3 linked regions of the Macaca mulatta genome follow. The protein of the gene in region 1 interacts with the protein of each later gene in a pairwise test. Links are inferred from orthologs where the notes say so. Each region holds a gene or a part of one and is shown in the gene's direction. Other genes may lie near its edges.

The links.
Region 2: the proteins of UBE2D4 (region 1) and RNF14 interact in binary tests that used the Homo sapiens proteins (3 or more experiments, as listed by UniProt). The link is inferred for Macaca mulatta from reciprocal best matches to the Homo sapiens genes UBE2D4 and RNF14.
Region 3: the proteins of UBE2D4 (region 1) and DTX3 interact in binary tests that used the Homo sapiens proteins (3 or more experiments, as listed by UniProt). The link is inferred for Macaca mulatta from reciprocal best matches to the Homo sapiens genes UBE2D4 and DTX3.

The regions. Positions count from the first base shown.
Region 1 is NC_133408.1:84,433,823-84,439,018, reverse strand, and holds the start of UBE2D4 (ubiquitin-conjugating enzyme E2 D4), read left to right. Parts: upstream 1-1,697; 5' UTR 1,698-1,714; coding exon 1,715-1,756; intron 1,757-1,770; exon of another isoform or gene 1,771-2,170; coding exon of another isoform or gene 2,171-2,194; exon of another isoform or gene 2,195-2,364; intron 2,365-5,196. UniProt on the Homo sapiens protein: Accepts ubiquitin from the E1 complex and catalyzes its covalent attachment to other proteins. In vitro able to promote polyubiquitination using all 7 ubiquitin Lys residues, but may prefer 'Lys-11' and 'Lys-48'-linked polyubiquitination.
Region 2 is NC_133411.1:150,823,095-150,828,452, forward strand, and holds the start of RNF14 (E3 ubiquitin-protein ligase RNF14), read left to right. Parts: upstream 1-2,095; 5' UTR 2,096-2,138; exon of another isoform or gene 2,139-2,635; intron 2,636-3,674; 5' UTR 3,675-3,848; intron 3,849-5,358. UniProt on the Homo sapiens protein: E3 ubiquitin-protein ligase that plays a key role in the RNF14-RNF25 translation quality control pathway, a pathway that takes place when a ribosome has stalled during translation, and which promotes ubiquitination and degradation of translation factors on stalled ribosomes.
Region 3 is NC_133416.1:64,772,633-64,778,115, forward strand, and holds the start of DTX3 (putative E3 ubiquitin-protein ligase DTX3), read left to right. Parts: upstream 1-2,220; 5' UTR 2,221-2,255; intron 2,256-3,581; 5' UTR 3,582-3,644; intron 3,645-3,826; 5' UTR 3,827-3,873; coding exon 3,874-3,902; intron 3,903-4,248; coding exon of another isoform or gene 4,249-4,267; coding exon 4,268-4,997; intron 4,998-5,483. UniProt on the Homo sapiens protein: Regulator of Notch signaling, a signaling pathway involved in cell-cell communications that regulates a broad spectrum of cell-fate determinations.

The DNA.
Region 1 (5,196 bases):
TTTAGAAATTAACACATTAGTAAACCTACCATCCAAAAATACTTTTTGAGATTTGACACATCAAAACCACCATATATATTCTTAGCACATAAATAATCATTTATATGTTCTTACATAAATATATAAACATTTATAAAATCTAGAATCACTTGTTTTATGGGGAGGGAAGGCCATGTCAATAATGTAGGAGGATGGATGGCCCATGGACTAACAAAAATTTCTGTTGTAAATGTTTGACACCAAGGGGAAGCGCTTGACCTGGGCCGTTCAATGGGTGATGCTTGAGCTGGCTTTGGAAAGTGAATGCTCTAGTCAAGGAATGTAGATGCTGTGGTGATGGAAACACTTGATAGTCAGGTGGGCTGGAGGTAGGAAGGAGAAGGTAAAGCTGGAGGATACTTGATTTTGTTTTGAGTTTTTGTTTTTTTGAGACTGGGTCTTGCTCTGTCTCCCAGCCTGGAGTGCAGTGGTGCCATCACAACTCACTGCAGCCTTGATCTCTCGGGCTCAAGTGATCCTCCCACCTCAGCCTCCCAAGTAGCTGGGACTACAGGCGCACACCACCATGCCCAGCTAAGTTTTGTATTTTTTGTAGAGACGGGGTTTCACCATGTTGCCCAGGGATGGTCTAGAACTCCTGGACTAAGGGATCCACCCACCTCAATCTCCCAAAGTGCTGGGATTACAGGCGTGAGTCACTGTGCCTGGCTGAAGATCCTGGATTTTGAAGGCCCCTGAATGACAGTGAATGTGATGCTATAGGCCACTGGGCTTCCTTGAAGAGTTCTGGGTAAGGATGCAGTGTGGTAAGCTTTATATTTCAGACAGTTTATGAAGTTGTGTGGAGGACAGATTGGGGGAATAGGAGCATGAAAGCCAGGGACAAAGCTGGGCAACCATTGAAATGTCTATAATACATTTTGTTTCCTAAGTACAAACATAGAGGTGACCATGTGTCCTGGCTGGCTGGAGACAATCCTAAATTATGGCTTTGGTCCCAGAGTAATTATATTAAGAGCCACTTTCATGCTCAAACATGTCTCAGTCTGAAGATTAAATATCATCTACATATACACAGCAACAAAACATCCACAATTCTTACCTTCACTGTGTGAAAGGCACTGACATTTTTTTCTCTTTTTTATTTTTATTTTTTATTATTTTTGAGACACAGTCTCACTCTGTTGCCCAGGCTGGAGTGCAGTGGCGCGATCTCAGCTCACTGCAACCTCTGCCTCCTGCGTTCAAGTGATTCTCAAGTAGCCTCTCAAGTAGCTAGGATTACAGGCATACGTTACTATGCCCAGCTAATTTCTGTATTTTTAGTACAGACGGGGTTTCACCATGTTGGCCAGGCTGGTCTCGAACTCCTGACCTCAAGTGATCCGCCTGCCTCAGCCTCCCAAAGTGCTGGGATTGTAGGCGTGAGCCACTTCGTCTGGCTTTTTTTTTTTCAAATGTTGGTTGCAACCTATTAAATTGATTTCGTGACACACTAAATAGTTCATAACCCTCAGTTTAAACAACTCTGACCTACACGCCTGCCAAGTCTTAGGAAAACAGGAAGGAGACAGCTAATTAAGTTTGGGTGATGCATAGTCTAAGGCATTGGTTCTCAACATTGGCAGTGCAAGATCACGTGAGGTACGACTGAACACGGAGATCTCCAAAACTGCGGAGAGTTGTGCGTGTGCACATATGCACAGACATCTACATGGAAATGGCTGTAACGCATCCAGCCATAAGGCGTACAAGGGTATGTATACTTACAGAGTTAAGAACCACTATTCTCAGGAGTTATATGACAGCCTGAGAAGACGCCCAGGATGTAGGAACAGGGAGCAAGCGAGCGTTTGGCACCTTGAGGGTGCTCCGCGCGTCTGGTAAAGCCAACGAGCCCCTCCTCTTCGCTGGCCTCTCCGGGGCCTTGCTGACCAGTGGTCGAAGCCACAGGACCGGGTGCGGGTGGCCAGCGTAACCGGGGCAGCCCCGCGGCTTCCCCTCGGCCGCGCCAGGACGCTCTGCACGCGGCGACGACGGCCCCACAGTTCCCCGCGCGCGCAAGCGCAGGCGGCGGCTCCCGGCGTGCAGCTCGGTGGCGGCTGACCCGGCAGCGGGCCGCCTCAGGCAGCCCTGGCCGGGCCGCCCGGGTCCCCGGCAGCGGGGTAGGATGGCGCTAAAGCGGATCCAGAAGGTACGCACTTTCCCACCCTCCGACTCTTTGGGTGTCCGAAGCGTCGAGGTGTGGGCGGGGCGCCGCTGCCGTGAAGTGAAAGGTGACAAAGGCTCCGCAAGTCGCGGATACACCTGCCTAGGAAGGTGGCCGAACAGCCACCCGCGCAGCCTGAAAAGCTAACGCAGCCTGAGAAGGGGATTGCGCGAGCGCGGGGCGGGGCCGGGCCGTGACCACGTGGGCTGCGTCACGCTGGCGGGGCGCCGTGGGGCCACCTGCAGGCTCCTGGACAGCGGGTTGCTGGGTCCCCGGAGTAAGGCAAGCTTGCTCCTCTAGGGTATCCAGAAGGGCTGGATGGGTATCCAGAAGGGTATCCAGAAGGGTATCCAGGATGAAGCTGGGTCCTAAGCGATGAGTAGGAACTCGGCAGGTGGGGAAGAGGGAAAAAGGCTTTCCCGGCAATGGGGAGACCACGAGGCCTGGAGGACTGACAGGATAGGGGAGAAGCTGAAGGGCAGATGGTGTGGACTCGGGTGGTCCTTAGGGGCAGTGCTGAAATAACTGATTTTTATCCTGTAGGTAAGAGGGAGTCCATGAAGGTTTAATGCATTCACTAGGATTTGGAAAATGCACAACAGTAGAAGAAAGAAGTATTTCTAATCCTATCACTTTACTATTTGTTAACATTTTAGCATACCTATGTTCAGTTTTTTCTATATTTAAAACAATTATCCTGCATTTTGTATTCCACTTATTCACATAATAGTAAATGTAAGCATGTTGTGAAGTAGTATTTATAACTTTTTTTTTTTTTTGAGACAGTCTTGCTCTGTCGCCCAGGCTGGAGTACAGTGGCACAATCATGGCTCACTGCAGCCTCAACCGTCCGGGTTCAAGTGATCCTCCCTCCTAAGCTTCCTGGGTAGCGGGGACTACATGCCACCATGCCCAGCCAATTGTTTATTTTTTGTAGAGACAGTGTCTCACTATGTTGCCCAGGCTGGTCTCATACTCCTGGGCTTAAGCGATCCTCTTGCCTCCACCTCCTAAAGTGGTGGGATTACAACGTGAGACACCATGTCCAGTTCTGTAACTAATTTTTAACATTAACTTTCCACAAGTACATGACTAGTGACTTATTTAGTCATTACCTGTAGTAGGTAAAACTGTAGTAGGTAAAAGTATGAACTTGGGTGTCAGACCTGGGTTAGAGAATGTGAGGTCACTTATAGTGGGACCTTGGGTAAGGCACTTAATCATTCCTAGCCTCCCAGTCCTACATGTTTACAGAGTTGTTTCGAGAATTAAATGCTATGAAATGTGTTTAGCACATGCTTGCTGTATACCAAGCACTCAATATGAGTTAGCTGCTGTTGTTCAAAATTCTTCACTATTTGCTGTTATGAACTTTGTATTAGGCTGTTTTGTTTGCTATAAAGGAATATCTGAGGCTGAGTAATTAATAAAGAAAAGAGGTTTATTTGGCTCTCAGTTCTGCAGGCTGTACAAGAAGCATAGTGCCAGCATCTGCTTCTAGTGAGGCCTCAGGAAGCTTACAATCATGGCGGAAAGCAAAGGAGAAGCAGGCGTGTCACCTGGTAAGAAAGGGAGCGAGAGAGATGCCAGCTCTTTTAAACACCCAGATCTCGCATGAACTAATAGAGTGAGCACTCACAGATTATTGTTGGGGGGCTACCAAGCCATTCATGAGGAATCTGCCCCCATGACCCAGACACCTCCCACCAGGCCCCGCCTCCAACACTGGCGATCACATTTCAGCATGAGATTTGGAGGGGACAAATATCCAAACCAGATCAACCATCATTGTACAGTGAGCCTTTTCCTTAATTCACATTACTGGGTTTGATTGCCAGAGGTGGAATAACAGGATCTCTGAGAGTATGACTCTTCTTTTTAAATAGCTGTCCAAAAGAGAGATAATTTTGATGAGTTATTCTCTGAAAGGGGTCATCTGTCATCCTAGGACTTTGAAGCAGGTGAATGACGTGCTGAGATCTGTGTTATAAAAAGATCCTTCTGGCGGCAGTGTGGCCTAAAGTGGGACAGAGGGAGACTAGAGGCTGTTGTGAAGATTCAGCAGAGGCTTTGCCCAAATTAATGACCATGGAATGGATGCTAGGCCAAAGCAGTGCCTGGACCACATTACAGAAGTGGAATTGACAGGACTTGAGGAGAGGATGTGGTGAAAGTGAAACAAGGAGGTGTACAAAATGGGTCACAAAGCAGTGCCTGGACCACATCACAGAAGTGGAATTGACAGGACTTGAGGAGAGGACGTGGTGAAAGTGAAACAAGGAGGTGTACAAAATGGGTCACTTAGTAGATGGTGGTGTTATTATCTAGGATGGGGAATCAGAAGTTTTGAAGGCAGGGAGGAGGGTAGGAGAGATTAAGGAGTAAAGGTTTGAGCCTACATATTCAAATGTATAGGCTGATAAGATTTATAAAAGGAAGGGTTTGGAAAAACAAGTTTGGACCTTGAGCATGAAATGTCAACTATAGATCCAAGGTAACTGAAGTCATAAGGCCAGGGAGAACTTTTCCTTGATAAGAATCAAGGACAGGCTGGGTGCAGTGGCCCATACCTATATCCCAGCACTCTGGGAGGCCAAGGCGGGTGGATTGCTTGAGTCCAGGAGTTTGAGACCAACTGGGCAACACAGCAAAATTCCATCTCCACTAAAAATTAAAAAATGGCCAGGCGAGGTGGCTCATGCCTGTAATCACAGCACTTTGGAAGACCAAGATGGGTGGATCATTTAAGGTCAGGAGTTTGAGACCAGCCTGACCTATGTACTGAAACCCCTCTGTAATAAAAATACAAAAAAATTAGCCAGGCGTGGTGGTGCACGCCTGTAACCCCAACTACTCCAGAGGCTGAGGCAGGAGAATTGCTTGAACCCGGAGGGTGGAGGTTGCAGTGAGCTGAGATTGCACCACTGCACTCCAGCCTGGGTGACAGAGCGAGACTCCGTCTAAAAAAAAAAAAGTAAATTAAAAAA
Region 2 (5,358 bases), on another chromosome or scaffold:
CAGTGGAAGAGTGGGTGCCAGGGGCTGGGAAGAGGGCATGGGGAGTTTAATGGGGACAGAATTTCAGGTCTGCAAGATGAAAAGAGTTATGGAGCTAAACGGTGGTGATGTTTGCACAACAGCGTGAGTGCACTGAGTGCCACTGAACTGCGCACTTAAAAATTAAGATGGTGAATTTTATGTTATATGTATTTTGTGATACATTTTTTTTTGAGACGAAGTCTTGCTCTATTTGAAAAATTGTCTTTTTGTTATTGAGTTGCAGGAGTTACTTATATATTTTGGATAAGTAGACCTTTGTCAGATATATACGATTTGCAAATATTTTATTCTATTATGTGGGTTGTCTTTTCATTTTCTTGATAGTGTCCTTTTGTTACAGGAAAGAGGTCCCAATCCAGACCCCAAGAGAGGGTTCTTGGATCTCACACAAGAAAGAATTCAGGGCGAGTCCGTAAAGTGAAAGCAAGTTTATGAAGAAAGTAAAGGAATGAAAGAATGGCTACCCCATAGACAGAGCAGTGCCAAGGGCTGCTGGTTGCCCATTTTTATGGTTATTTCTTCATGATATGCTAAACAAGTGGTGGATTATTCATGCCTCCCCTTTTTAGACGATATAGGGTAACTTACTGACGTTGCCATGGCATTCGTAAACTGTCATGGCACTGGTGGGAGTGTAGCAGTGAGGACAACCAGAGTTCACTCTCGTGGCCATCTTGGTTTTGGTGGGTTTTAGCCCACTTCTTTACGGCAAGCTGTTTTATCAGTAAGATCTTTATAACCTGTATCTTGTGCTAATCTCCTATCTCATCCTGTGACTTGGAATGCCTAACTGTCTAAGAATGTAGCCCAGTAGGTTGCTCAGCCTTATTTTACCCAGCCCCTACTCCAGATGAAGTTGCTCTGGTTCGAATGCCTCTGACATTTTGAAGTACAAAAGTTTTTAGCTTTGGTGAATGCAATTTATGTGTTTTTTTCCTTTGTTGCTTGTGCCTTTAGTTTCATGTCTAAGAAACTATTACCTAATTCAAGTTCATAAATATTTACTCCTACATTTTCTTCTAAGGGTTTTTTGGTTTTTTTTTTTTTTTTTTTGAGAGGGAGTCTCGCTCTGTCGCCCAGGCTGGAGTGCAGTGGCGCAATCTCGGTTCACTGCAAGCTCCGCCTCCCGGGTTCGTGCCGTTCTCCTGCCTCAGCCTCCCGAGTAGCTGGGACTACAGGCACCCACCACCACGCCCTGCTAATCTTTTGTATTTTTGGTAGAGACGGGGCTTCACCATGTTGGTCAGGCTGGTCTCTATCACCTGACCTCATGATCCGCCCTCCTCGGCCTCCCAAAGTGCTGAGATTACAGGCGTGAGCCACTGTGCCTGGCCTTCTAAAGATTTTATAGTTTTAGTTCTTACATTTAGGTCGTTGATCCATATTTAGTTAATTTTTGCATATGGTGTGAGGTAGGAAGCATATAATTTTAATTTCTGCTTAGCCTGATGATAATCATGTGACCCTTTGTAAGTTTTTGCACCTAAGTCTCAATTTCCTTATTTGTAAAGTGAGAATAACAAATGGTAGCTAAATCATAAGGTTACAGTGAAGATAGAAAATTTACGTAGAGCATTTATCACAGTGCTTGAAGCATCCTAACTGCTCAATAAATGCGGTCGGTGTTGCAGTTATAACATGAGCGATGAATGCGTGCTTCTGCAGTGGAGCTCCAGAAAGACGGGCAGCATTTCTGAGAAGGTAAACGGGAGGAAGCAGGCTAGCTTAGTCCACTTAGAGAAGCAGGTCTGGGATTGTTGTGAGAGTCTCTGCCCTAGGTAGACCACTGCCTCGTGATCACCTCTGGGGATTGGTAAAAATTGGAATTCTCGGGCCCCATCAGAACTACTGAAAACAGCCTCCTGTGAGCACTGGGCTCGCAGTGGTTGGAGTGACGGCGGTCGCGCCGGCAGCGCCGCCTTGGGCCTGCGGGAGGCGCCCGAGAGACAGGGGCGACCACGGCGGCTGCGCAGAGTCCTCTCTAGGCCGACTACCCCACCAGCGGGATCCGCTTGGCTCAGCTGACAGCTCCCGAGAACGGAAGAGGCGGTGCGCCGGTTGAGCAGGGAATTGCTAGGCCTGGTCGGCTGGCGGCGGTGAGTGGGCCCCGGGCAAGGGCGGAGGGCGGAACTTTGGAGCTTGGCACTGCCGGGTGGCCGGAAGGTACGGTGGGGACAGCTCTCTGGGCGCGCGAGGCAGAAAAGGGGACCGGGCCAGGACTGTACAGTGGGCCTCAGTCGCTCAAACCCGGGACCGGGCGTCCGCAGCCCAGCTGGCCGGGACTCCCTTCCGGACGCTCCTGAGGAGGAAGAGAAAGGTGTGGGCCCTGCTTCTTTGGGAGGCCCCAGGCTGGCCAGCAGCTCACACGCCCGGATAGCGCCCTCTGATCCCAGCGCTGGGGCGGATAGCTAGCCTTGGACTTGCCCCTGTTTTGGGGTAGTCGCCCAAACGACTCCGCACGCCGGGTGGCGAGCTGAACCCAGACCAGGACACCCGAAGACCAAATGGATAGAATGAGAAGGAAATGGGGGTAGCAACCAGAATTGAGGTACTGGCTTCCAAGTGACAGCTTCACAAGCTGAAATCTAGTAGGGTAGGTCATGAGGAACTGTTGAAACACTGCTTGGAGTAGAAGTTGCTAGCCCTGACTGCATATTGGAATCACCTGGAGAACTTGGACAACTACTGAGGCCTGAATTAATTGTTCTGGGTGTGGCCTGGGTATTCAGATTTTAAAAAACAGCTCCTTAGAAGATTCTAATGTGCAGTCAGATGGAGAACACTAACCTAAAACCATAAACTGCATAAATGAATCTCTCATCCCATTTGCAAATGTTTTAACAGGAAGAAACAAAAAGCTTAATTAGCACCATATATTCCCACCTAGTAAAATTGTTTAAGATTAAATAAGACAATGTGAAAGGACCTAATACTGTACGTAGTAGGTGCTCAATAAATGTAAATTGATTCTGAATCTCATTCTTATTGGGGAGTTACACATCCGAGAATCTGTAACTTTTTAATTATGGTTTTGTATATGGTATTTTTGCATATAATTTTAGGGTGTTGATAGGATTCTCCATAACCCATCTGAGACCATACTCCCTTTTCCCCTCACCCCAGTGAAGAAGCCTAGCTCTAAAGCGTTTAGAATAAAACTTAAAAGTTTCTGTTTGTGTATTCTTGTTTTGTTTAAGTATTTTTCTGTTATCAGAATTAACCATGAGTGCCACTGGTGGTATTAATTCATGAACAAGAGAGGAAAAACTGGAGGGGGATGGCAAATGAAGGAATACAAAAAGCAGAAGAGGAAAGGAGAAAAAACAAGAAACTGAAGAGGCTGTTTGTTATGGGGCATGGTGTCCTGTCCTCTCATATGACCTTGGTGTTCCTCCTTACCTCCTCCCATGGCTGAGGGCAGACAGATAAAAAGTCCTCAGTCATTGCTGGGCACATGCAAATACTCCTTTAACCACATGGCTCAGTCAGTCTGCCCTAGGAGAGTAACATGCACCTGTAGATTAGGATTGGCTGTATGTTAGGATATGTTTGACTTAAGTGGTGATCATGGAAATTCAGAATTTTAATTTGGAGAGGGTCCTAACACCATCTTTTGTATTTCTTTTCTGCAGATGGCAGGATTTTCATAGTATATGTAGTATGAGTTCCACATCTTGGCCTCTTATCCAGCTTCAGCAGTCTCAGCTCCACCAGTTAGAGAATAAATGGGATTTGCACGAACTCCACTCTGAGCTGAAATACAGACTGTGGTGTTAATATTCTTTTCTTCTGGTTGTTATTAACAGGTACTAACTGACCTCAAGTAGAACATGTAATTGTGTCTTTTAGGGAGGCAACTTAAGCAGAGCCATGAACTAACGTCTCCTAGAAAAAGTGTTTTTTGAAATGAAATCATTTTAAATTTCACAGTATGACCTTTTAGAATGTAAAAAAATCCTAACTTTTTAATTATGTACATTTTAATTAAAAATATTTTAGTTGTGAGGGAGGATATTTGCAAATGCAATTGTTGTTCAGTATTTTAATTGACAGAATGGTATTTTGTTTTATTAAAATGATTTTTGTAAATTCTCATTGCTTATTTTTTTCCACATTTAAATTATCTGAAATTGCTGTATCTTTCAGTTGACGCTATTTTAAAAAACATTGATTCATACTTTATTTATTTTTATTTATTTATTTATTTTTTTGAGACGGAGTCTCACTCTATAGCCCAGGCTGGAGTGCAGTGGCCGGATCTCAGCTCACTACAAGCTCCGCCTCCCGGGTTCACGCCATTCTCCTGCCTCAGCCTCCCGAGTAGCTGGGACTACAGGCGCCTGCCACCTCGCCCGGCTAGTTTTTTTTGTATTTTTTAGTAGAAACGGGATTTCACCGTGTTAGCCAGGATGATCTCGATCTCCTGACCTCGTGATCCACCCGTCTTGGCCTCCCAAAGTGCTGGGATTACAGGCTTGAGCCACCGCGGCCGGCCCCATACTTTATTTTTTGAGACAAGGTCTTGCTCTGTCACCCAGGCTGGAGTGCAGTGATGCAGACATGGCTCACTGCAGCCTCAGCATCCAAGGCTCAAGCGATCCTCCTACCACAGTCTCCTAAGTAGCTGGGACTACAAGCACACACCACCATACCTGGCTAATTTTTTATAGAGACAGGATCTTGTATGTTGCCATGGCTGATCTCAAACTGCTGGCCTCAAGCGATCCTCCTGCCTTGGCCTCTCAAAGTGCTGGGATTACAGGCATGAACCTCCACACCCAGCCAGTTCATACTTTAATAGTAGCTAATTTCTTTCTTTCTTTCTCTTTCTTTTTCTTTCTTCCCTCCCTCCCTCCCTCCCTCCCTCCCTCCCTTCCTTCCTTCCTTCCTTCCTGTCTCTGTCACCCAGGCTGGAATGCAGTGGCGCAGTCTCAGCTCACTGCAGCCTCCGCCTGCTGAGTTCTAGTGATTCTCAGTTCTCGTGCCTCAGCTACCAAGTGGTTGGGAATGCGTGCACCACCACGCCCAGCTAATTTTTGTATTTTTAGTAGAGATGGAGTTTTGCTGTGTTGGCCAGGCTAGTCTTGAACTCCTGGCCTCAAGTGATCTGCCTGCCTTGCTCTCCCAAAGTGCTGGGATTAAACGCTTGAGCCACTGTGCCTGGGCCTTGCAGCTAAATTCTTAGTATTACCTAAAATAATGGTAAATCTTTCTTAAAATTATTATCTTTTAAATATTCTTAAGTCATAATGGTAAATCTTAAAATTGATGACTGCTTGGATTTGACAAAATCTGTTATTTCAAAAATTTAATATT
Region 3 (5,483 bases), on another chromosome or scaffold:
GTGGGAACTTCCCCTACTCCCTGGATGTGTGTGCCTAGCACACTTCCTTCTCCCTCCCCTTTTTTCCAGTTGGATTTGTTTTTCTGTTCTCTTCTGTCCTGTCTTATACTGCAACTGTGTCTCCTAGGGGACAGATGGCCTTCTTTGTCATCTTCACTCTCCACCCCCAGAGAGGAGTCAGAGCCATAACTCAATCACTCAGCCCCTCCAAAGATAGTTGAGTTGATGTGTGATATTCTCATAATGTTGAGAACCCTGATGAGATATATTATCTTCCCCTCGCTACAATGCCTCTGGGGCCAAGGCACCCATTCTTCTTGGTATCCTCCATCCCTCTTGAGGCTTCCACTTTTTTTTTTTTAAACATAAAGGTGGGCACCAGCAACTGGCCTGTGGTGATGCAAAGCTGCTTTGCTCTGTATCTGGCTGGACTGATCTGTCTCACAAGAAGCCATGAGGCCATAGGGAGAAGCTCTCTCTCCCCTTCATCTTCTGCTCCAAAGGTGGTAACAAGAGGCGTACCCATTGGGGTTGGAGCCCCCTTATAACATCTTCCTGTCAGAAGACTGATGGATCTTTTTCATTCCAACCATCTCCCTTTCCCCCGATGAATGCAATAAAACTCGGACACCAGCAACCGTTGTTCTTTAGAAATGGGTTTTCTGATCGCATGGCTGATGTATTATGGGCAGTATGGATGTCTTCATTTGTTGCTTCTGTTTTTCATCTTTTTTTGTTTTATTAATAAAAAATTGTGTATTTGCTCCCATTACTATCATAATACAGGGAATAAATTATTCAATCCAAATTCCTGTACAGAACTTTTTATTTTTTTATTTTATTTTTATTTTTTTAATTTTACTTCTCTGAGGAAGCCTGTGCTTAAGGGTGCAGAGACCAGCTGAAGAATTCTGGTGTTCAAGGTGTTGGGCCCCTAACTAAGGATGTGGGTTTCTAGACAGATGGCTGGGAACGTTTTTTAAAAAGCTGTGAAGGGTGTGCACCGGAATGGAAAACTTAAGTCTTCAACTTCGTGGGAGGTCAGAGGTAGTGAGGGCCAGGGAAGGGTAGGGTGATGGGACCCTTCCTCTTCCCTGAGTTCTGGGCTTGCTAACACTCCATCTTTGTAAAGGTGAGTAGGCCTCTCAGCCCACCAGCTAAAAGAAACGGAATCCAGTATTCCCCCAGGCTTCCTGGGAAAGCTGTCTTCTTCCTGGAGGGAAGGAAGAGTACAGCAGAGTCCTGGGAAAGTGAAGAAAGTGACCAGCTCTCCAGTCTAGAGGGGGAGTGAAAAAGGGGTGGATGAATAGAGGTTGTTGCCAGTTTGGGAGATTCCTGTCTTGGCTGAGGAAGTCTTTTGGCTGGTGGAAAAACCTGGCTTGATGTGGCCCTAGGGAAGTGAGTTGAATTGGGCAGAGACTGCTTGATGTGGGAAGCAGAGCAGAGCTTTTTTTTTTTTTCCTGAGAGTTTTTAACTCTATTTGAACCATACACACTTGACACTACCACCACCTCAAGCCATTTTTTAAAAAATGTATTCGTTTCCCATTCTGCACCAGCCTCCATATCCCTGTTTGTGGAAAGAGAAAAATCAGAGGCACTTACCAATGACCAACTGAGAGCAGGTTGTGGGGGTCACAGGAGGTAACAATCTAGAAAGAGGCAGATGAGGGAGGGGATTGAAATAGTTTAGTACCCGGATTTGTTTATTTTTTAAAACCAATGCTTTTTTTTTTACTATGACTCTTCCCATCCCACATTGTTCCTCAAAGGCCCTTCTACCATAAGGATTCAAAAAATTGCCGCCCTCCCCCCCGAATCCCCATATACCCACCAACACTTCACCCACCCATCCACCACCAGCTCCCCGGAGCTGCTACGCAGCTGGCTGGGAAAGAAAAGGGAGAGTGCTCCGCCGGGAGCGGGGAGCGAGAAGGGTGGCGTCTCCAGGGATTTAACCTCCTACCCTCAGTTCCATGACGCCACCCCCTCCCTCCAAAGACTGGAACAGCGCCTCCATTTTTGTTTTGGGGAGGAAGGGCAGGGGCTTGCGGATAGAAGGGGGTCAAAGGAACGGTGATTATCACCTGTGAGGGGAAAGAGGGTGCTGTCCTCCCTCCTTCCCTTTCCCTCAGCCTGCACCCCCTGCAACCCCCAACCTTTCGGGGTCTCCCCCCCCCTTGTTGCTAAGGCCCGGACCGTCATCCCAGCAACAGCCTCAGTCATGTGACCGGCAATGGCGGCGCTGACGAGAGGTAGGTGAGCCCGGCGCCCCCCACACCCACCGCGCGCCCCCCAGGCCCCGCTCGCACCCCTCACACGCCCCTCGCTCCCCCGGCGCCCCCTCCTCCACCTCCCCTCCCCGCGCGCGGCTCCGGGTTCCCCGCTCCGTGCCCGGCCGATCATCTTTCTAGCACCCTCCAGCCTTGGCCTCCATTCGGGGTTTCTGAGGGCTGCGATCGGGGCCGACATGCATCCCCGCCCGGCAATGGGGATCCGGGGGCTTTGGCGAGTGAGGGATGTGGGGAGTTGGTTCCGGGTCGGGTCTTGGAGGAGGCCGTGGGGGTAGGGCGGGAGCTGCCTCAGTGGATGCCCCCAGGGACCCTTGCCCTTCCGGGCTGTCCCTCCCTCTGGCCTCTATCTAGAGGGAGAGACTGTCCCTTGTCCGGCCTGGGTTCCCACAGAGGAATCACAGACCCACCCTAAACTGTGGCCCCGCCTCCCTTTTCTGTGCCAGCAGGACTTGGAGCTAGGACACCTAGGTCCTGGGTCCCCTGTGATGGGGAGGGGGGTGTTGCAGCGCAGATACACTGTATGGGCTGAGACTCTAGGGTTCCATTTTCACTTTATGAATCTCGAGGTGCATCTGGCCTTGGGGGACGATGATGGAGGCATGAAGGGACAGCTGCTCCTTTTTGGATCAGTCATTGAATGGAGGTCACACTAATGGCCCTTCTTTCTGTTTGAGCTGCATTTGGAAGTGTTGTGGGTACAGCCTGGTAGCCCAATGCGACCAGGCTCAGGGGAAACATCAGGCCCCTCCAGCTGAGCCCTTGTGTGAGCCCCGCCCCTCCCTAAATGCCAGACTTGGGAGCTGACAGACAGCCCTGCCTGTGCTGGGTTTAAAAGGTGACAATGAGAACTTTGTTATTGCAGGGGCTGCTGCCACTTTGTTCACATCCTTAACAGACTTCAGCAGAAGGGACTGAGTTAGCTCTCAAGGAAGGCTCCCTGGCAATAGGGGCTGAATTATTTGGGAACGTGGAGCAGGGGAGGAGTTGGAGAGCATAGGAAATATTCCGGTCCATGTGATCTGAGGGAGGTGGCAAGAAGACCTCCACCTGTGTGGGCGTTTTCTTTCCTGACATCTTTTATGTGTGCCCTAGGCTTTCTTGGGGGCCTCAGAGCTGGGGAAGAAAGGAGGAAGGTTAGCATGTTCCTTCTTGAGCAACTTGGGGAGAAGCTGATGATGGAATTCTGCAGAGGAGAGAGGAGATGGAAGTGGAGTTTTTATTTCTGGGTTGGCTGAGGGAAATGGTAACATTTGCCATCATAACTTTTTACCCTTCCCCTATTCCCAGTCCTGGTCAGCTGAGTGGAAATAGAAGGATTTCTGCTGCCATCATCTTCCATGGGCTTCCCAGGTATCTCTCCCACAAGGGATCCTCAATTTTCACCCTTAAGCTGGTTTCCTTCATTCCATGTTACCATTCTCAGTAACCTATACCCAGGTTTCTGTCTCTGTTCCATGGGCTGCTGGGTTGGGGGCCATGGGAATTGGGAGAAGGGGTTTCTCACTTTCCTTCCTTTTTTTCCGCCCTACCAGCTCACACGACCTACAAGTAGGGAGCAGGGAAAAAAGAGTGAGCCTGCATGCCAATTCTAAGCTCTTCAGGATCAAAGTAAGCAAAAAGGAGGGGCAAAAAGTCTCCCTCCCCTTTAAAGAGCCCATTTTCCCCCCAGAAGTGGGAGGGGCAAATTGTTTCTATGATCTGGGAGAAATGACAGGAGAAACAAGACTGATACTTGGCTTAGATGATAATACAGCTCTGGAAACTTTTTTGCTCTTCAGTGGGCGCTGGGTTTGGAAGATAAGGGGAGAGAGAATATGAATTTGGGGGAAGGGTTGGGGATTAGGCTTTGAGAAAACAGAGGTAATAGAGGGTTTGGAAGGAACCTGAAGTAGGAGGCACTGATACTTGTCAAATGGGGACCCCCCACCCTGAGTCCCTTTCACCCTGGGGGCAGTGTCGTTCGTCCTGTCCAGAATGGCAGCCTGTGGAGGCACCTGCAAGAACAAAGTGACTGTCTCCAAGCCTGTGTGGGACTTCCTGAGCAAAGAGACCCCAGCCCGGCTGGCCCGGCTTCGGGAGGAGCATCGTGTGTCCATCCTCATAGATGGCGAGACTTCTGACATCTATGTTCTCCAGCTTTCCCCACAGGGCCCTCCCCCGGCCCCTCCCAATGGGCTCTACCTAGCCCGGAAGGCTCTTAAGGGGCTGCTAAAAGAGGCAGAGAAAGAGCTGAAGAAAGCTCAGAGGCAGGGGGAGCTGATGGGCTGCCTGGCTCTGGGGGGTGGAGGGGAGCACCCTGAGATGCACCGCGCAGGCCCACCCCCTCTCCGAGCAGCCCCACTTCTGCCCCCAGGGGCTCGGGGGCTCCCCCCTCCTCCTCCCCCCCTGCCCCCACCTCTTCCTCCTCGCCTTCGGGAGGAGGCAGAAGAGCAGGAGAGCACCTGCCCCATCTGTCTGGGGGAGATCCAGAATGCCAAGACATTGGAGAAGTGCCGGCATTCATTCTGCGAGGGCTGCATCACCCGGGCTCTGCAGGTGAAAAAGGCCTGCCCCATGTGCGGCCGCTTCTATGGGCAGCTGGTGGGCAACCAGCCCCAGAATGGGCGGATGCTGGTCTCTAAGGACGCCACCCTCCTACTACCCAGCTATGAGAAGTATGGCACCATTGTCATCCAGTACGTCTTCCCGCCCGGTGTCCAGGGGGTAAGAAGACCATGGCCCACCCTTACCCTTTGGCTCTCCCCAGGCTCTGACCTAGGAAAACCGGGTGAGGGTGAGTGTGCTTGTTAGATGTGAGACAGTCTTGCTGTCTTCCACTATGCCCTCTTACTCAGTGCCCTAGACCTAGGAGGTCCCTGTGAGGCCCAGCTTTTCCATCCCTGTGATCCCAAGGCACATGTGAAAATCAGATATGAGCTAGGAAAAAAAAGCAAGTCAGATACGAGAAGAAGGAATTGCATATTACTTCCTTGATGAACACAAATACTGTGCTGACATCTTGGCAGAGGTAAATTCTGTGGAGGTGGTGGCTTAGGGGCAGGGAGGCACAATAGGAAGAGATCTGACCAACCCAACAGAGCCAGGAACATCACTTGGTAAAAACGGGAGTGGTCAAGGCCTATAGGTGTCTTCCTGCTGGACAAAGAGTAATGTGCAATTCTGGCTGCAGAGGGTTGAAGAAGCTGCAGA